Linked DNA regions of Mus musculus: regions 1, 3 and 4 are each reported to be linked to region 2. The links are microRNA targets in miRTarBase. Many come from high-throughput screens and were not tested one by one. Region 2 holds a microRNA gene; each other region holds the end of a gene's coding sequence.

The links. The annotated mature microRNA mmu-miR-105 reads CCAAGUGCUCAGAUGCUUGUGGU and lies in region 2 at 4,782-4,804, shown strand. An mRNA with a match to its seed (bases 2 to 7 or 8) in the 3' UTR can be bound and repressed. Matches are read on the target gene's strand: a 7mer-m8 pairs with bases 2 to 8, a 7mer-A1 pairs with bases 2 to 7 and ends in A, and an 8mer does both.
Region 1: miRTarBase lists Pwwp2a as a target of mmu-miR-105. The part of its 3' UTR that is shown has no 7-base or 8-base seed match.
Region 3: the mRNA of Coa5 is a reported target of mmu-miR-105. Seed matches in the 3' UTR shown: 7mer-m8 at 3,056-3,062.
Region 4: the mRNA of Npy1r is a reported target of mmu-miR-105. Seed matches in the 3' UTR shown: 7mer-m8 at 1,640-1,646.

The regions. Positions count from the first base shown.
Region 1 is chr11:43,705,266-43,712,432 of GRCm38, reverse strand. Pwwp2a (PWWP domain containing 2A) reads right to left here. Exons shown (of 2, transcript NM_027557.1): 2 at 5,239-7,167. The coding sequence ends at 6,231. Among named protein-coding and RNA genes, the nearest start is that of Gm34963, 27 kb to the right of the region's middle.
Region 2 is chrX:72,589,351-72,596,350 of GRCm38, reverse strand. Mir105 (microRNA 105) reads left to right here and starts at 4,772; the gene lies at 4,772-4,851. The region is part of intron 1 of Gabra3 (gamma-aminobutyric acid (GABA) A receptor, subunit alpha 3); the gene reads left to right. It overlaps Mir767 (microRNA 767), which reads left to right and starts at 6,257; the gene lies at 6,257-6,363.
Region 3 is chr1:37,413,906-37,421,072 of GRCm38, reverse strand. It overlaps Coa5 (cytochrome C oxidase assembly factor 5), which reads left to right. Exons shown (of 3, transcript NM_198006.4): 3 at 446-3,988. The coding sequence ends at 487. Among named protein-coding and RNA genes, the nearest start is that of Coa5, 13 kb to the left of the region's middle.
Region 4 is chr8:66,704,380-66,711,546 of GRCm38, forward strand. Npy1r (neuropeptide Y receptor Y1) reads left to right here. Exons shown (of 3, transcript NM_010934.4): 2 at 1-246; 3 at 357-2,419. The coding sequence ends at 809. Among named protein-coding and RNA genes, the nearest start is that of Npy1r, 11 kb to the left of the region's middle.

The DNA of each region.
Region 1 (7,167 bases), not on the chromosome of region 2:
CCATCCTAGAATGCCATCTGTAGAGCAGGGTAACCATCTGGCTCTGCTTCCTGAGATCTGGGTTAAAATCATGAGCCCCCACTGCCCAGCATGAGCTTTTTCTTTTCTAAGAAAGCCTACCCATAAAAGCCACACTCCAGGCCTACAGGCGCAGATGACAGGAGATAGAGAGGCAGAGACAAGAGGATGTCAAGCTTGAAGCCAGCCTAGGCTACATGAGACCTAGTCTCAAACAGCTGCAAAACTCGAACATATTTATACATACATGCACACTTATACATACAAGCATAGCGGGTGGGAGGGTGGCACTAATACTTTAGCCATGAAGGACTTGGCGTTCCTTTCCTTGCAGACATGGATACCAGTATAGAAATTATGAGGGTTTCCCTCTTTTTTAAGAGAGGATCCATGTAGCCCAAGCTGGTCTCAAACCTATTTACCCAACACTGACCTTCCTGATTGATCTTCCTTTTTACAAAATTTTTACAAAACATTGTGAAGATTGTCTTTACACTATGCCTTTAGAGCTGGGCACAGTGGTGCAGGTCTACAATCCTCACGCTTCAGAGGTCAGAAGTCAGTGTCCAATCCCCTGGACAGGCTGTTGTGAGCTGCCTGATGCTGAAGTGGATGCTGGGTACAGTACAGTTTGTACTTTCATCTGCTGACCCATCTGTCCAGCCTCCATTATTATCAAACTTATTAAAATGTCTCCTTTATTCACAAAAAAATTATCCAAGCAATTGCTACCATTGAAAGATTGTTGTACTCAATGTAGTTAAATTAATTCACCTAAAACTTTTACTAAGGGGCGGCTGGGCAGCTGTAGTCCTTAAGCATAAAACACTGTTAGTGCTGTTATCTAGAGTATGCTCCATACAGGACTGCAGGTACACAGCAAGGAATCCTGGAAGCAAACATTGTGGCCCCAATTCTCAGCAAATTTAAAACTCTATTAAAAACACTGATTATAAGTCACTTTTGTAATCCCAGCATTCGGGAGGCTAAAACAAGATTGTCCTGGGCTAGAAACCAGACTGGGTTAGAGTGACCTAGTTTCATAAAACCAATGGGGGAGCGGGAAGGAAAGCAAAGCAAAGCACCCATATTACAGATAGACAGTGGTATAGTACAGACTTAAAACAGACTTAACACCTTTAAAATGTACAACTGGGGGCTGAAGAGATGGCTCAGAGTTCCAAAAGCTTGCTGTTTTTTTTTTTAATATTTATTTATTTATTATATGTAAGTACACTGTAGCTGTCTTCAGACACTCCAGAAGAGGGCATCAGATTTCGTTACGGATGGTTGTGAGCCACCATGTGGTTGCTGGGATTTGAACTCGGGACCTTCAGAAGAGCAGTCGGCGCTCTTAACCACCGAGCCATTTCGCCAGCCCCAAAGCTTGCTGTTCTTATTTGTAGCACCTACATCAGGTGGCTCTCAATGACCTACAATGCCAGATTCAGGGAATCTAATCCCATCTTTTAGCCTCTGAAGGCATTTGTACATGTGGGCACGAGAGCACGCGCACACACACGCACACATACACATCACGTTTTTTTAATTGTACAATTAAAATTGATTTTAAGATAGTAGGCAAGGTCCAGCCTGGTCTACTTATCAAGGCTAGATAGTGTGACCCTGTCTATTTTTTAAAAAACATTTATTGACTGATTGATTCTGAGTACGCTGTAGCTGTCTTCAGACACACCAGAAGAGGGCATCAGATCCCATTACAGGTGGTTGTGAGCCACCTTGTGGTTGGTGGGAATTGAACTCAAGACCTCTGGAAGAGCAGTCAGTGCTCTTAATCACTGAGCCATTTCTCCAGCCCCTATCTATTTTGTTTTAAAGGCAAAGCTTTAAACTAGTTATGGTGGCACATGGCTATGATCCCAATACTGAGGGGCTGAGAGAGAAGGATTACTGCATGTCCAGCCAGCCTGACCCATACAACAAAATCCTCTAAAAAGCAAATACGCCCCCAAAATGGTTAAATTTTAGGCCATGTCTATTTAAGCATTCATAAAGTTACAATTCACTTTACTACGACAAAGATAATGTTGTTTGTTTTTAACTGAAGACACAGGGACAGTAAAGGAGTGACGCCCTTCTGAATATCACAGCGGGGTGTGCTACAACAGCCAGCACCACAGAGCCAAACTCAATGGTGTCCCTTTCGGAGGATAGATTAAACTTAGTATCAATTATCATGGCAAAAATAAAACCCAGATACTCTGCAAAAAGTCTAATAAAATCATTTACCACTGTGCAACCGTGGCTAAATGAAGGCCCGAGTACAGAAATGTCCACGCCCCGTGGAAGCGCAGTCAGCACCTTTCAAGTCAGAACCAGGGGAAAGTAGAAACAAAGATTGGCCGCTCACTCTCCTGGCACGGAATGGAACGGCTCCAACCCAGCTTTAGCTCTCAACTCCAGATTTTTCTATTAAAGTGTTAATAGCTATTAGCACAGCCCCAAAGCAAAAACTGAATTTGTCCCTCCTTAGAAAATGACCATCACTAACTGGCCAATTCCCTATTTGAAACCATCAGTGAACATAAACCTTTGAACTAAAACCTTCATTACAAGCTTTCTAGTATGTCAGTATGGCACTAGACTGTCAGTCCAAACTACAGAACATTCATAACTTAAATGGAGAAAAAAAAAGACCTAACTAAACATATACTATAAATTTCTGATTTTCTGATTCTCAATTCAGTCATTCAGTATAAAGGAAAACTGGCCACTTTCCAAATGTCTGAACATATGTTTCCTTCAATAACCAATAACTTTAGAAAGTAACAGCCTCTCTTAGTTGAATAAACTCCATACCCTAGATGGATCTAAGCTGATTTAAGTATCAATTCTATGTTGTCTGCCTACAATGTCTTCAGAAAAATTCCTGCTTAGTACTTGCTGCATGTAGTACTAAGCTACAATAATAGCAACCATTAACATTCTGTTTCCAGCCGTATGTGTTGGTGTAAGCCTGTAATACTAGCACAGAAGAGCTCAAGATCAGCCTGGGCTATAAGGGAAGATCCTGCTCCAAAAACTGAAAAAAGGCTGGGTGGTGGTGGCGCACGCCTTTAATCCCAGCACTCAGGAGGCAGAGGCAGGCGGATTTCTGAGTTCCAGGCCAGCCTGGTCTACAGAGTGAGTTCCAGGACAGCCAGGGCTACACAGAGAAACCCTGTCTCGAAAAACAAAAGCAACAACAACAACACAAAAAACAAAAACTGAAAACAAACAAACAAAAAAATATCAAAACCACTTAGGAGGAAACAGGGATAGATAAAAAATCTGTTAATAGAATGCCTGGCTAAAGTGAAAAAGGCCTGGATTCGGTCCTCATCATCATAGAAACTGGGTGTGTTGGAATCCCTGCATGAGAGGTGGAGAGATCAGAAGCTGAGGTGAACTGTAGGTAGGCTAGACTGCTATACTGGAAACAAAACACTTGGGGACACACCATTAAATCTGACTTTAGATAGTGAATCCTTTACAGGTCTTCTGTTCTGTGGGAATAAACTAGAATAGAAAACAGATTTCTTCTAAAAGACCAGTGCACTTGCTGATTTCTAAGCTCTACAAAATGAAGAAGGAAACATGAGGCTTTAAATTTCTAAAGATGCCATCCTGACAACTTATTTGTTTTCTGCACTTGCTCATCCTTGTCTTTTAGCTACTTTTCTTATATTGGAAATTTGTCTAAGTAAATTCTCTCAGAAAAGAGAAACCAAACCAAACAAGAAGAAAAAAGTCCATTTGGTTTATTATCGTACATACAGTACCTTTTATCTTCTCAGAGGAAACTCTGTTACAGTAGATAGCAAATGGTCACCTTGCTTGGAAAATTCTACTGGGATATCTTTAAAAATAGTATCTCACTATGTGGCCCTGGCTGGTCTAGATAGAATTCCATAGATCAGATCGGCCTCAATCTCAGAGAACATGCTAGGGCTAAAGGCATGTACCAGCACACAGAGCCAAATATTCCTTTGTTCATTTTCTGGACAAGAATTCATTATGTGCCCTGGTCAATCTCTAAGTCACTCAACCCTCTTGCATCCACCTCTCAAATGATAGGATCACTAGAACATGCCATCACTCCTGGCTGAATGTTATTTATATACTCCACAATCACAGATTGTATTTTCCCATGTAGCTTCTGAAATAGGACAAATGGTTTATGCCATAAAGATACATTGCCAAAGTGTCTGACTGTATTAGCAACACCCACTTTCAAAGTCACAACTACAACAGCCCAGATCACACACTTCACATTACTTTTTAGATGACTCTCGCATAAATCAGTTTTTCAAAAGGTAAACAAACAAGTACTCTAATCTAAAACAGTTACTCAGAAAACCTAGGATATTTCCCTCATAAGCCCTTCATCACACTGTGAGCTTTCAGACTGTCATAATCAGATTAGTTTCTGTTTGCAGGAAAGAATATGTATCTTTTTCTTTGTGTGTTTATTAAAATCAAAAAGCATTGACTAAGTTCCCCAGAAGAAATTCTATTTTCTTTCCCAGAAATAATCAGGTATCAAGCTTAAGGAAGTTCATTTCCAAATTTCATTATCTTTATTATTAATTATGTAGTAACTAACATATCTCACACTGGATTATTTTAGAAATCCATAAAAGTTTACCTTTTTGTATCTCAAGTAAGTACTAACTGAAACTATATCAAATTTAAGAAAACAAAAGGCTTGGAAGCAACTTAATTCTCGAGATCACCTTGCCTCTGCGGGCACTCAGGAGGCAGAAGCAGGCAAGGCTCTGAGCTTGAAATCAGCCTGGCCAGCCAAAGTGACATAGCGAGACTCTTAAAAAATAACATCTTAGGGACAGGTAGACCATGTAGAATATGGAGTTAGATTACTAAGCCCATAAAGCAGTGATATCTGAGGCAGGAGACCAGAGAGCAAACCAACTACAATTACCTAATTTTTTAAAGCATGACAATTTATCAAAGCTAAAACTGAGGGGAAAAAATGAAAAGCATTCATGAGCAGTTGATAGGAACTAGAGTTCTACCGGATGGTATTACTATAGAGCCTCACTGTACCTCCTGTTATTTGAATTTTATTTATTCTCCAATACATCCCTGACAGGGCAAACAAAAATGTTTAATTTCTCATGTTTTCTAACCACTATTGCAAAGAAAAATTTCTACTATTTTGAAACTGTTCAAAGCTTTTTGAGAAACACACACAAATAATTTGGATTTAGTTGATTTTATTTACAGCTTTTTTTTTTTTACATTTCAATGCATTATACAATCACATTTCTCATTTTCTGACCTGCAAACAGATTACCTTAAATGGAAAATGCTTCTGAAAAACTATCAAATTAGGTACATCCAAAATGCAACAATTACACATGACATTAATTCACAAAGTGTAAATTGCTAGGGTCTGTCCTAAGAATTTAGGAACAGCCAGTCAGGAGAAATCTGACTAACTTTTCACTCAATTATTTATATACCCCAAATAAAATCTATCTAAACTTCCCACCAAATATCTGACAGTTTGTTTTACAACCTCACTGGACAAGAGAGTACTGACCCAAACCTGTCTAGTCTTAATAGTTTTAATCCCAAATACTGGCAATGTGTACAGCCTGGTCTATAACTAAACAGCAAGCATACCAATTTGTCATAGCAAGCATCTCAGTGTGTCAAACATCCAATATCAAACTTTTATACCCTATGTGCATAGAAAGTCTAAGTTTTCACTAGATAAAACAAGTAATCATTGAATATCCACTGTTCCCCAAGTTCCAGCCCTTACTAAAATCTCAAATATGCAACCCATGTCACATGGTGACAGACAATAGTTTATACATGTGGATGTGTGTGTATGTATGTCTAGGTGTGCATACCTAGACATACATATACACACAAACAATAGCTACAAATGGCAATTAACAGTCCCTGCAAAAATTGTTTCATTTGAAGCTATGGCTTCTATGCCTTAGGGTGGTTTTAGATTTTAAAACTGGAAAATATTCCTAAAATCCTACTTAAGAGAAAATTTGAAACATCTTTCAGTTTTCAGCTTCTTAGTGTAAAAATGGCTATATATAACGTATAAAAAGCCAACTGAGTGCAATTTCTCACCAGTTTGGCCAAGCTAGCTGGTGGAAATGATTCCTGACTAGCCAGGGACCTGCAGCAGCTCCAGTGGTTCTCGCCTACCTTACTGTCCATGTTCACGTTTCAAATTGTGTCAACAAAGCCCGCACTTCAGGGGTCAGCTGCTTAGCAGCCTTAGCAGCCTCTGTGATAGCCCTGCGATACAGACCCTTTCTCTTCTTATTAAACCGTAACTGGAAGTTTTCTAGAAAGGGGGAGAGTTGTGAGAGAGCAAGGGAAGATGTGGTTGGAGATGCAAACCATGAGATACGGGCCTCCTGCCGGGCTAAAAGGCCGTTATCTTTCCGGCTTACAGTGATGGTAAGAATACGGGCTGGCCACCAAGGGAAGCCATATATCTTGGCCCAAACAATGTCCCCTACACATATGGTCCTGCCATCTGGTGTGATACATTTAGAGACATTTTTTGAAAAGATTTTCATTTTCAAAGAATTACGGAGGCTATTCTCTTCCTTTGAAGAGAAGGAAGTAGAAGTGGAAGAGGCAGAAGGTGCGTGCATACAGCCGGGAGGAAAAACGAAGCTCTCAGAAGAGCTACACTCAGAGTTGGAGGATTTCAAATCATCCATGCTATCAATGCTACACACTGAGGCACTGGAAGAGTCAGATGTCTCCTGATTTAGGGTCAGGTAAACAGAGATACTGCTTTTGCTGCCCTTTTTGCCCAACATCCGCAGTTCCTCCTGCTCACCAGGCACACGCACTCTGCTTGTGTCCTGAACCTCACCGGCGGACTCTTCCGGGCCTTCTGAGGGACTCGGTTTTTCTGAAGGGGCCTCACCTGCTGAGCGGGTGGAGGTGCATCGAGACTGCGGCTTAGGCGCCAGCTTGCCACTCCGAATTTTCTCCAGTCCCGTCTTCAGAGAAGAGTCATTTTCTTCGTTCCTGTACCTTTGTGGTTTTAACCGCACTCGGGGTGGGAGAGAACCTGAGCTGGGACTCTGATACCGACGTGTGAAGTGGACTTTCGCATGGGCGGTTTTGGAAGTGGAG
Region 2 (7,000 bases):
GCCACATATGTGGCTGGAGCCACGGGTCCCTCCATGTGTACTCTTTGGTTGTGGTCCAGTCCCTGGGACCTACGGGGGGTCTGGCCAGTTGACACTGTGTGTGTGTGTACTCTATGTGAGATACACACACACACATACATACATACATACATACATACATAATACATACATACAGAGAGACAGAGACAGAGAGACAGAGAGGGAGAATATGTGTGTGTGCCTCTCTCTCCCTCTCTCTCTCTCTCTCTCTCTCTCTCTCTCTCTCTCTCTCTCTGTGTGTGTGTGTGTGTGTGTGTGTGTGTGTGTGTGTGTGGTCAATTCTGGGTGTTCTGTTCTGCCACTCTGACTTTTGGAGATTTTTTTTCTGAAATTGGAGCAGCTCCTGATTGGCTAGACAGTCTGGCCAGCAAACTCCGGGGAACAATCTTCTCAACAGATGTGTGCTGCCATGCCCTGCTTCTACCTGAGTGCTCAGAGTCCCAACCCCCATTTTTATAGCTGTGTGACAAGAGCATTGCTGACTATCTCTCTTCAGAACCAGGTTGACCTTTAGAGAACTGTAGTTTGGCTTTGTTAATTTTATAATATGTTCTTGTGTATTACTGATTACTAAAAAAATTAAGAGCTTATGCACATGACATTACTATAAATCAGCATGCTGTGTTATGCTGGCAGCAACCCCAAATGCTTTGTATTACTGTATCTCTTGAATGCATTGCTTTCTGGTGCATAACTATAGTTTAATGCTTATTGATAAGTTCTCATTCTAATACATAATTGTTACTATAGTACAATATGGATGTCAAGTTACTGATCACCTCACAGGTGCTGAAGTTTGTCTTTTGGAACAATACCATTCACTATTGTCTCCAAGGGCTATGAACACAAAATATAATTGCACCCTTATTTGCTCATATTTCTAGAGGCTATAACTGCAAAATGAAAATATTGGCAGGGCTATGCTATTTTTGCAGGTTCTGTGGAAAAATTTAATAGCTTTTGTTAGCTTCAAGAATTTCTTGGCTTGTGGCATCATCACTAGCTCTGTTGAGACATGCTGTTATCTTTTTTGTTGTTGTTCAAATTTCACTCTGTTTTTTATACAGACAGTAGTCACTGGATTTGTGGACCATGCAAACATATTACTGCATTTTCTGTTGATAAAATAGAATAGATGTGATTGAGTTATTTATAAATAAAGGAAGCTTATTTACCTCATAGCTCTAGAGCATGGAAATCCAAGAGAAGATAGTCATAGCTGAAGATAGCCTTAGGCTACATCCAACATGATGGTAAAACAGTAGGGATATAGAAACATGTAAAAGAGAGAAAGCTCTAGGAGCACATTCAGTTTATGACCCAGACCTGCAACACCTATACCACTTCCGTGAGATTGATCCACAATCTAAAGAATAAAAAAAAATAAACTAATCCCATTTAGCTTCTTTTTTTTTCTTCTTTAATATTTTTAATTAGGTATTTTCCTCATTTACATTTCCAATGCTATCCCAAAAGTCCCTCATACCCTCCCTCCCACTCCCTTACCCACCCACCCCCACTTTTTGTCCCTGGTGTTCCCCTGTACTGAGGCATATAAAGTATGCATGACCAATGGGCCTCTCTTTCCACTGATGGCCGACTAGGCCATCTTCTGATACATATGCAGCTAGAGTCAAGAGCTCTGGGGTACTGGTTAGTTCATATTGTTGTTCCACCTATAGAGTTGCAGATCCCTTTAGCTCCTTGGGTACTTTCTCTAGCTCCTCCATTGGGAGCTCTGTGATCGATCCAATAGCTGACCATGAGCATCCACTTCTGTGTTTGCTAGGCCCTGGCATAGCCTCACAAGAGACAGCTATATCAGGTTACTTTCAGCAAAATCTTGCTAGTGTGTGCAATGGTGTCAGCATTTGGAAGCTGATTATGGGATGGATCCCTGGATATGGCAGTCTCTAGATGGTCCATCCTTTTGTCTCTGCTCCAAACTTTGTCTCTGTAACTCCTTCCATGGGTGATTGTTTCCAATTCTAAGAAGAGGCAAAGTGTCTACACTTTGGTCTTCGTTCTTCTTGAGTTTCATGTGTTTAGCAAATTGTATCTTATATCTTGGGTATTCTAAGTTTCTGGGCTAATATCCACTTATCAGTGAGTACATATCATTTGAGTTCTTTTGTGATTGTGTTACCTCACTCAGGATGATGCCCTCTAGGTCCAACCATTTGCCTAGGAACTTCATAAATTCATTCTTTTTAATAGCTGAGTAGTACTCCATTGTGTAAATGTACCACATTTTCTGTATCCATTCCTCTGTTGTGGGGCATCTGGGTTCTTTCCAGCTTCTGGCTATTATAAATAAGGCTGCTATGAACATAGTGGAGCATGTGTCCTTCTTACCGGTTGGAACATCTTCTGGATATATGCCCAGGAGAGGTATTGCAGGATCCTCCGGTAATACTATGTCCAATTTTCTGAGGAATCGCCAGACTGACTTCCAGAGTGGTTGTATAAGCCTGCAATCCCACCAACAATGGAGCTAAAACCATCCAGTGGAAAAAACACAGCATTTTCAAGAAATGGTGCTGGCACAACTGGTGGTTATCATGTAGAAGAATGTGACTTGATCCATTCCTATCTCCTTGTACTAAGGTCAAATCTAAGTGGATCAAGGAACTCCACATAAAACCAGAGACACTGAAACTTATAGAGGAGAAAGTGGGGAAAAGCCTCGAAGATATGGGAACAGGGGAAAAAATTCCTGAATAGAACAGCAATGGCTTGTGCTGTAAGATCGAGAATTGACAAATGGGACCTCATAAAACTGCAAAGCTTCTGTAAGGCAAAAGACACCGTCAATAAGACAAAAAGGCCACCAACAGATTGGGAAAGGATCTTTACCTATAAATCAGATAGGGGACTAATATCCAATATATATAAAGAACTCAAGAAGGTAGACTCCAGAAAATCAAATGACCCCATTAAAAAATGGGGCTCAGTGCTAAACAAAGAATTCTCACCTGAGGGATACCGAATGGCTGAGAAGCACCTGAAAAAATGTTCAGAATCCTTAATCATCAGGGAAACGGTGAGATTCCACCTCACACCAGTCAGAATGGCTAAGATCAAAAATTCAGGTGACAGCAGATGCTGGCGAGGATGTGGAGAAAGAGGAACACTCCTTTCAGCTTCTTAAAAGGCCATGTATTCTAACATTTCACAGTAACTTTCAGATTTCAATATGAGTTTCAGGTGTAAGACATACTCAAATGTTTATAGCATAACTTCATGTTGAGTTTACTACCAGAAGACTCAGTTGCATATGAGATCACAACCACAGGTATTGAGAATGATAACTTCAAAATCTCTTTGGAGAGGACATAATTCAATTCATAACAGCCTCTGTACTTGAAGACATACGCTTTTGTATTGTGGCTTTTAATTTTTTTTAAATTTCATTAAGTTAAGTTTGATTTGTATACACACATACACTCACACACATATAGTCATTTTTTACTTTGTAACTATAAATATATAGTTCCAGAATGCAAATATATATATACATACACACACACACACACACACATACATATTCTTGGGTATAAGTCTTTTACTACATATTTGCAATCCAAATGGAGGTCTAGAAAAGGGCATCAGATTCCCTGGAAATAGAGTTATAACTAATTGTGTTTTAAAGGTATGAATCATAATTAAGAACTCAAGGTTAAGATGTTCATCTGAACATTTAGCACAAGGTTTCATTTTGTACCGTTTACCTCTTCTCTTGACTGAAAACTTTATTTTGTTTGTGGATGTTGAATTGAGCTTATCTTTCTGTCTCGACCCACTACTGTAGTTTATCTGATTGCTTATTATATGTGTACACTATCAACCACTATTGTTATCTGAAGATACATGATGGAAACTACTAACCCATCCTAAGTATAAAAGACAAAAAAATTCATGATTTCCTTCGGAATATAGAATGATTTGCATTAGTATGAATATTAGTTGTAATATTGTGGCCAGTAGATCTTGTACAGGGAAGGATCCCTCAGTTTATGCTGACTGCTCATATACAGTTTCTATTATCAATACTAATAGTTGTTTCTTCATATAATGGGATACCTTTGATTTTTTTTTTACCAGAAACAAGCACAAATCCACATATGCCATGGCCTGATTTCATGTAACTTGATTTGGTTTCATTGTCATCCTCTTGAAGCAGAGGTATCCATTGCTTATATACTTTTCTTATTAGCATACCATGTCTGAGTAATAATCACATCACGGTTTATTTCTGTAATTTGTCGACATGTACTGGTATTACAATTAGTAGCCTGTGTTCTGTAGGTGTACGGCTATATATTAGAAACATATATTCCAAGACTTTTTCTTACATTTTAGTCATCTAAGCATCCTATACTATTCAGTTATTCTCTTAGACCAATGGCATGCATTCATTCTTTTAATAAAGTTGAATGGAGTTTATTATTTTATTATTTTTGGCATCACATGCATTTCATTTTTCATATGTGAACTGAGTCATTATCCAAAATGGTTACATAACTAAAAATTTTCAGTCACGTGTTTGAAGTTGTTATACGATTTGTATACATAATGACAGTCTGTTTTTTTCAGAAATGGAATATTTTGCTCCTTTCATGTTAATCTGTACACTGTGTGCTTTCCTACTAATATGAGTTTCTCTCTCCTTTGTCATTGATGTCTTCGCCTGTAACATGGCATTAACACCTGTTGCAAGATGCTCTGTGTGTGCATTTTAGCCAAGTGCTCAGATGCTTGTGGTGGCTGCTTATGCACCACGAATGCTTGAGCATGTGCTATGGTACCTACTTTTACAACATTGCCATCTGCTTCTGGAACAAAGCCATTCATTACTCTGTTTTTAAACCATGTTCCATGGCTGTCTGTCAGGTGACTCACAGCATATTGTCATTTATTATTGTACTTAAAACGGTGGGCGGTGAAGCCAAAATATTTGTGTTTGAATTTGAAAGTATTGATTGTTAACTGTGGGGTCTTGAATACCTCAAATTGCATTTCTGTTCTTTTATTTCCACAAAATGCCAAAGATGTCTCATAAATCTGTACATATTAATACATGATTGCATTTCCAACACTGAGTAGAATGTTGTGAAGTATATGTGACAACAGTAATGGTGGTGCTGATATGATATTCCTTGATTTCTTGTCATGGGTGCCAGTCTCAGTTCTGCAGCTAATGTACATGTCTTTATGGTAAAACAATGATACTTGCAATAGTGTTTTTTTTTTCTTCCATTTTTTATTAGGTATTTAGCTCATTTACATTTCCAATGCTATACCAAAAGTCCCCCATACCCACCCACCCCCACTCCCCTACCCACCCACTCCCCCTTTTTGGCCCTGGCGTTACCCTGTACTGGGGCATATAAAGTTTGCGTGTCCAATGGGCCTCTCTTTCCAGTGATGGCCGACTAGGCCATCTTTTGATACATATGCAGTTAGAGTCAAGAGCTCCGGGATACTGGTTAGTTCATTATGTTGTTCCGCCTATAGGGTTGCAGATCCCTTTAGCTCCTTGGGTACTTTCTCTAGCTCCTCCATTGGGAGTCCTGTGATCCATCCATTAGCTGACTGTGAGCATCCACTTCTGTGTTTTCTAGGCCCCGGCATAGTCTCACAAGAGACAGCTACATCTGGGTCCTTTCAGCAAAATCTTGCTAGTGTATGCAATGGTGTCAGCGTTTGGATGCTGATTATGGGGTGGATCCCTGGATATGGCAGTCTCTACATGGACCATCCTTTCATCTCAGCTCCAAACTTTGTCTCTGTAACTCCTTCCCAGGGTGTTTTGTTCCCTATTCTAAGGAGGGGCATAGTGTCCACACTTCAGTTTTAAAGACTGTGGCATAAGCTTATGCAATGGAGTGCTGACTCTCTTTGAATCAATGCTATCTGGAGTATTCTATTAATCATAACATGATTATTTTCTGCTCTTCTATAATCATTTTTCCCTAATATACTTGACCATCTACTCTTAAGCTATAGTCAAACTATTTGCTTGTAATGTCTGGAAATACACGTTGGTGCAATGCTTCATCATCAGAGAATTGTATGAATATATGTTGTGTTATTGCCTTTAGCATCATTGCCATGTCTTGGTGGCCTTATGAATGCTACCTTTATTCTCATCTCTTGTTTATCTTGGCATATTCCCGTGTTATTTGTTCCTGTATCACATCTACTTTTGTATTATAGAATCCATATAGGTTTTTACTCATGCACCATGGTTGTCTGAGCACATAACATGCTTGTCTGCTCATACCCTATGGTTCCTGAAGAGGAATCTTAACTGTCTACTGCTCTATAGGAAAACAGTGTTTTATGTATCAGTTTATATTTTTGGTTGCTTTTTCCTAGTACATGGACCTCTGCTCCCTTAACATACTGGTGTTTTTCCTGTACCATCTCTATCTGTTCCAATTCTATGGATGTTAACTTGCCACTAGACTTCCTGTGCATCATAGTCCAGTGCTCAAATAAATCCCATGCACTATGACTGCTTAAGCATGTAACAATAGTTTCTCATGTGTTTTATCAGTATGATCTTCTCCTAGTCTGAAGGGAACCATGATTTACTAATTTCAAAATGATTCCATGTCTACTTGTTATAGCATAATTTTTAACTTATACATATCACAAAACTATATAACTAAGCAGCATGATCAGATGCTCCAGAACAAATGATGTCTATTTGTATATCATAGTCATATGACCATCTGGGCATATTCTGCCAGGTCTCCCTTTACATATGTGATATCAATTCATAGAGTAAAGCTTTTTGTTCCTGTATCATAGCTCATTTATAAGATTTATTTTGTGAGATCCTATCAAATGTACAAACAATTCTCATGGCTTTCATAACCTCTGGATTTCTGTTGGATTTCTCAGGGTGTCTTGACTACATGATCCTGAATAAATGTTCATGTATTGAGGTGTT
Region 3 (7,167 bases), not on the chromosome of region 2:
CCTAATGCGACTCTCACGTTTGAAGATTTTGTTTTGAAAATAGATCTCTTAGTCAGACCCAGTGGTACAGAGTGATGCCAGCTATCTAAAGAGACTGAGGCAGGAACACAATAGATTTAAGGCCTTCTTGGGCTATAGAGTAAATTCAAGGCCAGCCTGGACAGCTTCGTGAGACCTTATCAAAAAAGTATATGAAAAGGACAGAATGTAGCTCAGCGGTTGAGTGCCTGCCTAACATATGTATGGCCTTGGATTCAATGTATAGTATAGTATAGAAAAATAGATAATTTATGTATTTTTACAAAGGCTTACAGGTGCTTTACCTGGCTGTAGCATTAGCCACATGCTCAGCCGAGTTTCTTCTTTCATAAAGTTACTGACGACCCTTACCAGAGCTGTGCTTATTATTCCAGATGTGGTTAAATGCATGCATGCTTCTTTTCAGCTGGATGCCAGATCAAGATTCAGAGGGAGAAAAGGATATTGATAACATGCTGAACGCAAGATGAAAGTCACCCAGGATTTTCCATGGTCCTTAACAGAAAGGAACCAAACGGGAAGCACAGCAGCTGCCGCATCTCTTCCACCTCTGGGCCAGGTGTTCCTCCCAAGGACACCAGAGAAAATGGATCAGTGCTGTTTCTGAATGAGTCTGCTGGCTGAAGTCATTTATAGAAGATCCATGGGACTAAACAACTATGGGCTAAGAATGTGTCTGGGGAATTACCTAATGAAGAGATTATGTTCAAGGATGACTCTTCGATCAGATTACACAGTGTGTGAATTCAGGAGGCCATGATGAGATTGGCATAGATAGTGGCTCCTCCAACTCTTTTTTCTGTTTCTTGGTTTCAATTTTAGGCCAACCCCCTCCTCATAAAGGGGTGAAATCAGCCATAGACCACATCCTCAAGATATGGGTGGGCTCCAAAAAGGAGAGCATAGGCTGGCCCACAAGTCACACCCTGCTGAAGGACGCTGCTCCTTCCTGGGTCATATGCTTGGTGATCTTGGCTAGATCCTGGTCGCATGTACTGTGCTGACACCATGCACAATCACATAAGATAAGTTATGGGCCTCATCCCTAAACACTGGAATGCAGCAAATGGACACAACAGATGTTCACTCTAGATAACAAATGTCAATGACATGAAGTGGCTGGAAAAGTTTAGAATCCTTAACATATTATTTTGACCACTTAACACAGTAGAAAGCCATCAGGGCACTAAATCTTCAGTGTGATTCTTGCCATTGAACAGAGTGGCAATTCTATATTGTTCTGTAGTTCACTGGGGCTAAAGCAGTCAAGGACTGGAAGTTCACTTGCTATTTTAAAAGTTTTTGAAGCTATGAGGATTCCCTAGGGTGTCACTGAGGTCTGCTCTATGTACTGCCCCCACTGGGAGTAGGAGGTACTGCACCCTTGTGCTCTGTGTACTGCCCCCACTGGGAGTAGGAGGTACTGCACCCTTGTGCTCTGTGTACTGCCCCCACTGGGAGTGGGAGTATTGCACCCTTCAGTCCTGCCACCTATGTCCCAAGCTTGGTGTCTGTGTGCAGTGTGGAGGAGTGCACATTCTGCATGCTAGGAAGCTCGACCATTGAGCCACACCTTCCACTAGTGCTTCAGTTTCAACAGAGAGTGAAATGTGTTTGTATGAAATGCCTCCATTTGAGTAGATAGAGCTTTATTTGGAAAAAGTCACATGTCTCATAATTGGACTTTGACTTAGACAACCCCATGGAGTTTAGAGTGTTCGTGGAGCATGCTGCAGTCACCACTATCTACTTCCAGAACAGTCTCATCCTTTCCAGAAATGTAACCACTGGTCAGCACTCTGCCCTCTCCCTCTGGTCCAGGTCTATTAGATGAGTGGAACTATGTAGTCCTGTCTTTTCTGAGTCCTGTTACCAAATTCGACAGGTTTATTGGCATGTAGCATCAGTCTGCAGTGTAGTTCTGCTGAGTAGCATCCACAGTAGACAGACACTGTGTATTTCTCCATCGAGCAGATGAGCTCTGAGCTGTTTCTACTTTGGGGCTTTTGACTAATGCTATGAACGTTTCATTTAATACATGCCTTAGAGTTGAACTCCAAGGTCGTATCATGACGGCCTCAATTATATTTTCTACAGTGATTTTACCACATTTCATGCTGTCATGGGATCTAGGCTCCAGCACCCCTGACTTTCACAACTGCTCATATTGCTGACAGCCATTCTGCTTGTGATAAAGAGGCATCTATTGGGATCTTGGTTGCATTTCTCTAGTGTCTAATAACCTGAGCAGTTTTTCGTGTGTTCATTGGCTCTCTATGCTGCCTTTGCAGAGTGTTTTCTAGTCTGCAGTCTGGCTTCCAGTTGGGTTATCTGTTTATTTTCCTATAAGATTTTTTATTTACTGTTGGCTCAAGTCTCTTAAAGATTAATTGGCATTTTTTTCTCAACGTGTTTGTCCTTTTCAATCTCTTGCTACTCTATATAGCACAGTCTTTATTTTTATACATTCCCTTATGTGGCTTAGCCCAGGCTGGCCGGGAATCCCCAAAGCGCGAGCATTTTCAGCGCTGCACTTCCCAGAAAGCACACACCGCTGCTCTTGACTAGAGCAGTTTTCATATTGGAAAATGACAATGTCTTTTTTCTTTCACTCTAAGAAACCATTCCTAACCCAAACTTCCAGAAGCTTATAAATTTTACCTCTTACCTGTAGGCCTGTGCTCTCAAAATTATTTTACACACCTTTATTCATGACCATATTTGAAATTAGTTAAATAGAAATAATACATTTTAGTATGGCTAAGTATGTAGCTCCGTATATATTGTGTTCAGCACATTCACAGTGCAGTACAGTACAGTCTGCCTGCCGCACTGTTCTGCATCCACCTCAGGAAATGCAAGTGTGCCCATCTGAGGACTCCCAGCCACTGCCAGGTCGCCCGCCCTGCCCTGTCCTTGGCATACTCTCTCCTCATGGTAACCACCATTCTCTTTCCTGTTTCTGAATTTGAGTACCCTAAGTGCCTGGTATATGTGGACTCTTTGTTGTGTGCATGCACTTGTGTGTGTGTGTGTGTGTGTGTGTGTGAGAGAGAGAGAGAGAGTGTGTGTGTGTGTGTGTGTGCCTCCAGCGCGGAATACCATGAAGGTTCATATCATATATCGGTTTCCTTCCTTTGTAAGGACAAATGGTATTGTAGTATATGTTGTATGCATATTGTATGTATCTTGTTACCTACTCATCCAGCCGTGGGTACCTCGGTTGTTCCCACCCTGGAGCTCCTGACTATGCTGTGAACGTGTATATACAAATACCCCTAGGACCCGCTTTCAGTCTTAACATACATGTAGCAGATTGTATGTCATAGGGTACTTCTGTTTTTATTAGTAGGCATTGCCATAGTTTCCATATCAGCCACACTATTCTATGTTCTGTCCGCAGTGCACAGAGATTAGAACTGCCTATGTCCTTGTGACTTGTATGCCATTCTAGAAGTCGTTAAGATCCACCAGTGCTTCTGCTTCCTAGTTCCCTGACTGCTGGTGTGTTCTAGATGCTTGGTGGCTTTCTTTATATAGCGTTTGAAGAAATTGTTTTAGGTCTCCTCTGCCCGTTAATAGTTGACTCTGGTTGAATTTTTGGTCATCACATCTACAAAAGCATTGATTCCAAGGGAGCTGACTGTAGCTTGCCCTGGGAATTTTAGTTTTAGTTCTTAGCTTTGCCCTTTGATGCATTTTGAGTTAATCTTTGTGTGTGGTGGAAGCTCTGACTTTCTACTCTCCACATGTGCATATCTAGCTTTGCACAATGCCCTTTGGAGGGAAAACATGGCGCCATGCATGGTGGGGCCGGTTTTGAGCCCAGTCTCTCCTGACTCTGTCTGCCTTCATGCCAACGCCACTGCTTTGATTACTGGAGAATTACTATCAAAATTTGAAATCAGAAAGTGTTTGTTCTAAAATAAAAATTTGAATCTGAAAACATCTTTGTTCTGTTTCAAGATTATTTGGGGTATAACTCTTTGAGAATCTGTATTTCAGGATATACATTTTGTCTATCTCTAAAAACACAAAAGTGCTGTTGGCATTTGAATAGGGACTGCATTAACCTCCTGAGCACCTGGGTGCATTGACATCTGAACGTGATTAACTCCTCAATCAATAAGACACTTACTGGTGTCTAATCACAGCAAAACTGTCAAGTTTTCAGTGTAGTAGATTTTTCTCCTTTTTTTTCTTCTCGAGACAGGGTTTCTCTGTAGCTCTGGCTGTCCTGGAACTCACACTGTAGACCAGGCTGGCCTCGAACTCAGAAATCTGCCTGCCTCTGCCTCTCAAGTGCTGGGATTAAAGGCATGTGCCACCACTGCCCGGCAGATTTTTCTCCTCTTTGATTATTTATTCCTAAGCATCTTGTTCCTTGATGATACACTTTTGTCAGGTTTTTTTTTTTTTTTTTTACATTTGTGGGGGTTAGGGAGATATGCATGCAACTGAACACGTGGAGGAGGTCGGAGGACCGTGGGAATCAGGTCTCAGCACATGGCTTCTGGAGTCAACTCAGGCCTTCGTGCCTGGTAACAAGCACGCCCACCCACTGGTCCATCTCTTTGGCCCACTTTTCTAAATTTCATTTTCAGGTTTTTCTTTTAAGTGTTTGATTTAGATAAGTTTCATTATTAAATATAAACAGTGTAGAGGAAAGGACATAGACTGTTTCCTGTCATCAAATGACAGTCGTGTCACCTTCGTCCTTACTCCCATCATGCCTCATGTTTATAAGATGCTGTGGTGGCTAGTTTATGTCAGCTTGACCCAAGCCAAAGTCATCCGAAGAGAGGTAATCTCAACTGAAAAAAAATGTCTCCATAAGATCCAGCTGTAGGCCATTTTTTAAATTAGTGATTGATGGGGGAGGGCCTAGTCCATTGTGGATAGTGCAGTCCTTGGGCTGGTGGTCCTGAGTTCTATAAGAAAGGCTGAGGAAGCCAAGAGGAGCAAGCCAGTAAGCAGTACCCCTCCATGGCCTCTACATTCCTGTCCTGTTTGAGTTCTTGCCCTGACTGCCTTCAGTGATGAACAGCAATATGAAAGTGTAAGCCAAATAAACCCTTTCCTCCCCAACTTGCTTTTTGGTCATGATGTTTCGTGGCAGCAATAGAAACTCTAAGACAGGATACCTTCTCCCTTGCTCCCAAGGGAGACTTAACTGTGCTTCTGCTGCCACACTGTGCTCCCAAGTTTGTCCTCTCCTTTGACTTGGTGAATCTGTCCTCTTCTGTTGCATCTAAAATAACTGGTGGTTACAAGGAAAGACAGACAACATAGCACGGGCTTTGGAGGGGTTCAATAAACACTACAAATTCACCATTCATCTTTGTTTAGTAAACTGGGGGTGGGGTGGGGTGAACACATGTGTGCATGCAGAGGCCAGAGGGTGTTCTCTCCTTTTACCATGTGGATTCCAGGGTTCAAAGTCTGACTGTAAGGCTTAATGACAAGTGCTCTTACCTGCTGAGCTGTCCTGCCAGCCCCTTATCCAGTAAACTCTGAGTAGTTCCTTTATGGCAAGAACTTCACCTGTCCTTATGAATAATACAAAGGTAAACAGCAAGGCAGACCAAATATGCATGACAGATCCTTTAGAAGAATGTAAATAAGCCTTTTACAAAATACATTCACAAACATCATCAACTATTAAAAATTAAATGATGAAGCCTGGCAGTGGTGGCGCATACCTTTAATCCCAGCACTTGAGAGGCAGAGGCAGGTGGATTTCTGAGTTTGAGGCCAGCCTGGTCTATAGAGTGAGTTCCAGGACAGCCAGGGCTACACAGAGAAACCCTGTCAAAAAAACAAAAAAAGCAAAAAACCAAAAAACCAAAAATGAAATGATGAAACTATTTAAAGGACTTAAGCTTTGAAGGGAGCAGGAATTGGGAGAGGATCGTTCCAGATCGGAGGGACCAGGCTGTAGGGGATAAGGTAAGGCAGGGAGGGAAGATAAAGATCTAAGTGGTCTGATGGCATCTGCTGATAGTTGATCCTAGTTGACTTGTCTGAGTGGCCCCCAGGGTTAGTAAAACGCCACTTCTGAGTGTGTTAGGAGGACACTTTGGATATGACGGATACACAGAGGAACTGCAAAGGCGGGCCAGGAATGTGGGTTGAGGCCCCAGATGGAAAAGAACCAGAGACAGAAAGTCAGACAGTGGCCCAGACTCTAGCAAGTGTCTATTGCTGCTGCACTGCCTGCAAAGATTAGACTCAGACCAGCAACTGCCCAGGGAGCTTACCGTCCTTCAGTGCCATACTCAGACTGTATCATTGGTCTCTCGTTCTGAGGCTTCCAGCTTTGCCACCACCACCATGGGATAGGTTCTCAGCCTCTTCAGAATGTAGGAAGCCACAAGCTTCCAATTGCATAAGACACACACACACACACACACACACACACACACACACACACACACACACATTCCTTTCTGTGGTCCATGGCTGAAGCTTCCCAAAACAAAGACAAGTCTTTATCATGGGCTGCCTGACTTACAAGTTTTCCTCCTCAGAGGATATCATTTAAAGCGAATATTCTGGATGAGAAAGGATGGGATCCTGTGACGTGGTGGAGATGAGCTAAAAGGGGGTCCTGAACTCTCCAAGTGTGATGGTTTGACAGGACTGTCTTTCCGATGCTACAGCAGCACCCAGACCTCTGCCCGAGGATATAATCTACATCACCTGTAGAAACAGTAATGACTTTCCCTGAAGAAGCCGCTGAGAGACATTGTGGCCATCCCACCACACATTTATTTGTACCTGGAGACCTACAGTCTGGTGAGGTACACAGTGTGACCCCGAGGTGACTATACGGAAGAACTTAACTTTCCTAATTCAAAAAGCAGAGTCTGGGCAAATATGTACAGGGATGTAATTTAAAGGCATGGGATAGAAGCAGAACAAAAACTAAGGGCCTGGAGAGATGGCTCAGCCATTAAGAGTACTGACTGCTCTTCCAGAGGTCCTGAGTTCAAATCCCAGCAACCACATGGTGGCTCACAACCATCTGAAATGGAATCTGATGCCCTCTTCTGGTGTGTCTGAGGGCAGCTAGTGTGTATTCACATAAATCATTTTTTAAAAAATTACAGTTTTTGGGTGTGGTGG
Region 4 (7,167 bases), not on the chromosome of region 2:
AATAGACATGCTTACATAGGCATTACTGTCATTTGGGTCCTTGCAGTGGCTTCTTCTCTGCCCTTTGTGATCTATCAAATTCTGACCGACGAGCCCTTCCAAAATGTGTCACTTGCGGCGTTCAAGGACAAGTATGTGTGCTTTGACAAATTCCCATCTGACTCTCACAGGCTGTCTTACACGACTCTCCTCCTGGTGCTGCAGTATTTCGGCCCACTCTGCTTTATATTCATATGCTACTTCAAGGTAAGAAAACCATTGGCCCCTCCCTCAACCGTCTCCCTTCTTACCTCCTTTGTACAGACTTCCCAGGAGGTGCATGTTGTACTTGAATTCACCCTTTCCTTCCTTCATAGATATACATTCGCTTGAAAAGGAGAAACAACATGATGGACAAGATCCGGGACAGTAAGTACAGGTCCAGTGAGACCAAGCGAATCAACATCATGCTGCTCTCCATTGTGGTCGCCTTCGCCGTCTGCTGGCTGCCCCTTACCATCTTCAACACTGTGTTCGACTGGAACCACCAGATCATTGCCACCTGCAACCACAATCTGCTGTTTCTGCTCTGTCACCTCACCGCCATGATCTCCACCTGCGTCAACCCCATCTTTTATGGATTCCTGAACAAAAATTTCCAGAGAGACTTGCAGTTCTTCTTCAACTTTTGTGACTTCCGGTCTCGAGACGATGACTACGAGACCATAGCCATGTCTACCATGCATACGGATGTGTCCAAGACGTCTCTGAAGCAGGCTAGCCCAGTCGCATTTAAAAAAATCAGTATGAATGACAATGAAAAAGTCTGAAGCTGCTCAGAGCATATGGTCCCAGGCCATATCTGTGGAAAAACAAGCACAGCCTGCCGCATGCTTTCTTTACCTATGCTCTGGGGGAACGGAATGAGGCGCGCTTGGAAAGCCCAGGACATCTGTGTTGGGTTTGACTGCTTTTGATGGTTGCCCTGATTACTTAGAAATCTAGATTACTTTGTAATCTATCTCTGGCAACAGTTTTGACTAGATGTCCTGTGTGTGTGTGTGTGTGTGTGTGTGTGTGTGTGTGTGTGTGTGTGTGTGTATGTGTGTGCGCGCGCGCGCGCGCGCACGTGCAAAAGAGAAAGAGAGAGAGAGAAGGAGAGAGACAGACAGACTGCCTGTCTGTCTGTCTGTCTGTCTTTCTTTATGTATGTGTTTGAATTATGCATATGACAAAGAGTTTTACATTGTGTTTGTTGGAGTGAATTTCTCTGAAGTAATGTCATGAGCTCATTTCAAAAGCAGTCACCACCTGATATTCTCAAGATACTGAATTTTCAAGATCAGATGAGATTTCCAAGACCCCGGACTACCTTCGTTCCCTGCTAGGCATCATCTTAGTCTGTCACAAGGGTGACAGTATACAAAAGTCACCTTTTAAAATGTGCCTGAGTCAAAAGAGTGTCTGAAGTCATTTGGCAGCATCTTTTCCTTTTCCTCTCTATTTCTGTAAGGACTCAATTTCTTATACTCCTAATTGAGTCTTGCCTAAGATAAAGATAAGTAAAGAACACCTTTTCAGCTGTGGATATCACCAGGAGTTAGGCCACCCACAAGAATGAAGTGGCAGCTGGGCGTGGTGGCACACACCTTTAATCCCAGCACTTGGGAGGCAGAGGCAGGTGGATTTCTGAGTTTGAGGCCAGCCTGGTCTACAAAGTGAGTTCCAGAACAGCCAGGGCTATACAGAGAAACCCTGTCTCGAAAGACCCCCCCCCCCAAAAAAAAAGAATGAAGTGGCAAAACAGGTCCCTGATTTTAAAATTTTTCTGACAACCAAAGCATTTTAGGGTAATTAGTTTAAAATGTAAACTAGTCTTGCTGCAGATAGGTAAATTGCATCCAAAGGACTTGATAATCGAAAGGTTTTGCATTGTTCATCAGAGTGCTGAGCTCTATCAAGCTTTCTGGCACAAGCATGCGACTCAGAGCATTTCTAACTCATACTGCACAGACGCGTAAGATGCGTTTTCTACACAGCCGTGCCTGCATAGTAACTAGTGTTTAACTCTCACCATTTATCCTTCACTGCAGAGGACACAGGGACAATGTCAATGTATCTACCCTTCAGCTAACAGATGTCTGTACCTAAAACTTTCACGCAGCCTAACTTGTATAAACTGTATACAAGTTCAAGTTCATCCTAACTTGTATAAACTGTATAATGTGTGGAGTTTTATAATCATATACTATTATATCATAGAGTACTGAGTAGCCCTGCCATATTGATATATTTACTTTCATGTATCTTGTAATCATGATTTAGACTCAGAAAAGATACTTTGAAGAACAAGACAGTTTCAATGTATTGTACAAAATGTTGCCTGTGTGTGATTTTAGAAGGGCAGACACTTCTGAATTAAAACTGAGCTTTTTCAGAGGAGTCTGTTCTGTGATTCTCTTGAGCTTCCTTTCTTCCTGTCTCAAGACTTGCCTTCCATGATATGATACCTCCACCATACCCATTACCAACTGGCTAGAGAGTTACTGTCTATTCTGTAACCACTGGGGGCTCGTACACTTTAATTTTCTAGATTTGAGAGCTTGTTAAGGCAGAGACTATGTAATAATGATGGACCCACCGTGTATTTCTCACAGCAACAAGTAATTAAAACATTATTTTACATGTATTCCAGGGGCTGAAGAGATGGCCCAGAAGATAAAAAAACAAAAAACAAAAAACAAAACAAAAACTTGCTGTACAAGCATGTTGCCTAGGGCCGGATCCCTAGTCCCATGTATGTAACTGCTGGGTGGGTGTCATCCTAGTGTTCCAGCGAGGAGGAAACCAAAAGTTCTTGAGGCAAGCTGCTTAGCTCGATTAACTGACTCAGCCTGTGCTGAGTTCAGTGAAGTGAAAAGCAACTGGGAAAGACTCACCATCACGCACAAACACATGGATATCCCTTCATCCAGTACAAAACTGCATCTATACACTCATGAACACACATACACAACACATGTATATGAACACCTAGATCTATATACCTATGGACATAAAATTTCTGAAACAAGTGAATGAATGAAGGCAAAATTTCTCCTTTCCACTGTGTCACCTGGAATTCACATCATGGTGTATTTTGGGATTCTCTTCCCACTGTCCCTCTTTAGCAAGTGAACATTTTCTCTTGTACTGCATTATTTCCACCCCTAAATGAAACAGTAATGACTTTTTAAATTGTAGGATCTTGTACCATCAGCTTTGTGGATGTTAGCATGAAATCACATAACAGCTAAGAACAACCTATAGTTGACCAGAGGGCGGGAGGGAGGCAATTCTAGAGCCAATTTTTAAGATTCATTGAAAAAGATGACCTTTAAAGATCTCGAACCTGGCATTCTTAATACTTGGCATTTTCCTGTTCCCTAGAACTAATTGGAAACTCCCTTTCTCAACATAGGTGCCCTAGATATCATACCTAGATATGGGCAGCGCTCTTAACACACAGCTATTTCTCCATTAGAGAACTTGCTAAGACCATCTCTAGGAACCTTAGACAGTTATATTAATAGACAACTGAACATCAAATTCTTCTGTTTCATCCAAAGATGTAGACGAACTAACAGTTCAGTCTAAGGCCAGGGCCCAGGTGCTAGAGCTGAGGTAGGAACAAATGACCACATTAAAGACAAACAGTGACATTTTACCAGAAACTATTAGAGTCACAGCACAATTAACAGAGCTTCTGTGAACTTCGAGGAATTGATCATCGCTAGAGTTTTTAGACCTCTAATGTGGAAAGCACTGGGTTAAATGTGGAAGTCCTGATTAACATTGTTGCCTCCCCACACAAAAGGAGAGCAAATCTTAAAAGTATAAGTGACAAAGAAATCTAAACCAAGCACAACTCACACAACTAAACTTATTACAAAGCTCTAATTGTAGTTCCATAAAATAACTTTGAAGGATTGAAGTATAGCTCTGTTGGTAAAGTGCTTGCCTGGCATGCATGAAGCCCTGGACTCAGTCTCTAGTACCTCATAAACTAGGTATGGTGGCACAGGCCAGTGATCACAACACTCAGGAGGTGAAGGTGAAGAAGTGGGGTGTCAGAGGTTCAAGGTCATTTTCAGCTTTATAGTGAGTTTGATGGCAGCCTTGTCTTCTTGAGATCTTTTCTTGAAAAAAAAATTACTTTTCTCATCTTCTTGAAGTTCACCTGATAATAACATCGATGATGCCAAAATTTTCAGAAAAGAATAGAATGAAAGAGAAGAGTGGAGAGGTGGCAATGGTAGCTCTATGTGTCTATTATCCCCTATGGAATTAGACAAGTCCACTTTAGAGTATCATTATATTATATACTTTTACTTCCTTTCTTTTCTATTGACTGGATATTCTCATCCCCTATTTTATCTCACATATTCCTAGTGAAGTTTGGCTACATATTATACTTTATTTCCAACTAGACACATTACAATGAAAATACATATCCTCTGTGGCATAAAAGAAGCACCCACTTATTGCTGGTGAGAATACAGACTCGTGCAACCACCAGGTAAATCAGTGTGGTGGTTTGAAGAAGATGGAAATTGATGAACTTCAAGATCAGCTCTACCCTTCTTGGACACTTCTTCCTACCACAGAGACACTTACTCTGCCATGTTCGATGCTGCTCTAGTCATAAAAACTAGAAATTGGAAATAAACATATAGTTTCCTCAACAGGTAAATTCATTTTTAAAATGTGCATTTACACAATAGGATATTGCTAGGCCATTTTAAAAAAGTGGCATCATGAAATTTGCAGAAAAATGAATATAGCTAGAAAAATCATCCTGAGTGAAGCAACCTATACCCAAGAAAGACAAATAATGGTATGTATTTGCTTATATGGGATATTAACTGGGAAGCCAATGATAAGCTACAATTCATAGAACCACAGAGGGCAGGTATAGAGTAAGGGACTAGAGGGAACAGAAAGCCCTCCTTAGAAAAGGGATATAGAAAAGTTAGAGATGGATGGAGGGGGTGGTTGTAGCAGAACAGAAGCATCACATAAGGTAGGGAGGAAGGTGAGGTGAGGGAGCGAATGCAGGGAGAGACAGCTAGAATTAAGGGCATTTGAGTGGCAGTATGGGCAACACCTAAAATAGTACAAGCTTCTTAAATAACATATATAAGGATGCTATCTAAATGAAATGGTCAAATAATGGAGGAGATGAGTGCAAACTGCCCATCTCTTGTCACCAAATGAAGCTTCCGTTACTGGGATAGTGTTATATCTAATTCAGTTGTTGGCTGAAGGGGTACCATGGGAATCCCCAACACCTTGTCCTTATTCTCTTATTGTTACTCTCTTATTCCTGCTTTCTGCTTGCTTCTCTTTTGCCCTCTTATTCCCCTCTCTCCCCATATCCTTTCCCACTCTCTCCACATGGCTATGGCCAGCCTCTACTTCTTTACTCTCTCCCTCTTTCTATGCCTTTCTCTGCCTTTACTACCCTCTTAGGTCCCCTTCCTGACATGACAATAAACACCTTAAAACCAAAAAGGAAGAAGAAAAAAAGAGTTGCCATTGTCATGGTGTCTGTTCACAGCAGTAACACCCTAACCAAGACACCTGCCATCCCAGTTTTGAATCCATACAAACCCCTATCAACAAAAAATGTCTTCTCTATCACTATTATCATTACCTCTCTTGTAGTTCTCCCCTTCTTCATCTTCTTTGTCTTTCTCCTCTTTTTCTCCATCCTTCTTTTCCTTTTTTGTGGTAATGGTGATTGAACCCAAAGCCTCATTCATACTATGCAAACACTTTACCTGTGAGCTCTATCCCTAGTCCTCTTGTGAACAAAAATTTGGAGACAAAATTTTTATTGAGTTACTTTAGGCTGGATTTCAAGTTATAAACCAGAGTAGGCTGGCCTTGAACTTGTAATCTTCCTGCCCCAGCCTCCCAGATAGCTAGGATTGCAGGCTTGTGTCACCAGGCTCAGCTCTTCGACAACCTTGAGTGGTCCCAGAAACATTTTTAAAAGGAAATATCTTTCACAGCTCACGTTCAGTAATGGAGGCAAACTCTTCGCCGTGGCCATTTAGGTGTAGATACAGAATTGAGACATGCATCTGGTCCACACAAGGATGTTACTATAAATGTTGGTCCATTTCCGCTGTTCTCTCATTTTCTCAGATCTCACTTCCTACTTTCCTAGGCAGAGCTTTAGTAATCTTCTGAGAACATTTTCCTGGTGTGCCTCTGGATATTTGAAACTTAATTAGTATTAATCTTCTTCTTCTTTGTGATGTTGGGGATGGGAGAGAATATTATCCCACAAAGTCCTGTATTCTAGCCCAAAGTCTTGAGACTTTACATCTTTGAGTACAGAACAGCAATTGATGCCCAATAGATTCTAGAATCTTGAATCTTACCTAGGAGGGAAAGGAAAAAGGTTATCAGTTAAAACTGGTGACTAAGGATGAATAGTATTTAACTCAAGACAAAAAAAAAAAATCAAACCAACAACTATAGAACCCTGAAACTGTATCTGATTAAATCTTACACCTGGGTTGTCAACCAGCACCCTTATAATATTGTCTACATTTCATTTTTTTAATTAAAAAAATTAATTTATGTGTATGACTCTTTTGTCTACATGTCTGCACACCACGTGTGTGCAGTACCTGAAGAGGCCAGAAGGGGGTGACAGAATCCCCTGGAACTAATGTTACAGAGGATTGTGAACTGTCATTTGGGTGCTGGGAATCAAATTCAAGTACTCTGGAAGAGTAGCCAGTAAGACATGATTCTAGCTTTATTGTCCATGTTTTCTAATGTAAAAGTAAACAAACAAATAAATAAATAAAATAATTATGTGCTATTACAGGTCTGTGTTGTCAATATAATTTTGTAGAAGTTGAGGTCTGGTTCTTCCTCTCAGCCCCATGCTCTCAGAAATAAGATTCAGACTCAAAATATATTTACAAATTCCTTGGCCATATTGCTAGGACTAGATCATAACTAAAATAACCTAATTATTTTAACCTACATTCTGCCACATGTCTGGTCACCATGCCTCCGTCTCCTCCACCTCCCTGGGTGGATCCTCCCACACGGCTGGTTACTGTGCTCAGGTACCATGCCTCTGTCTCCTCACACCTCCCTGGATCTTCTCACTCTTGGCTCTCT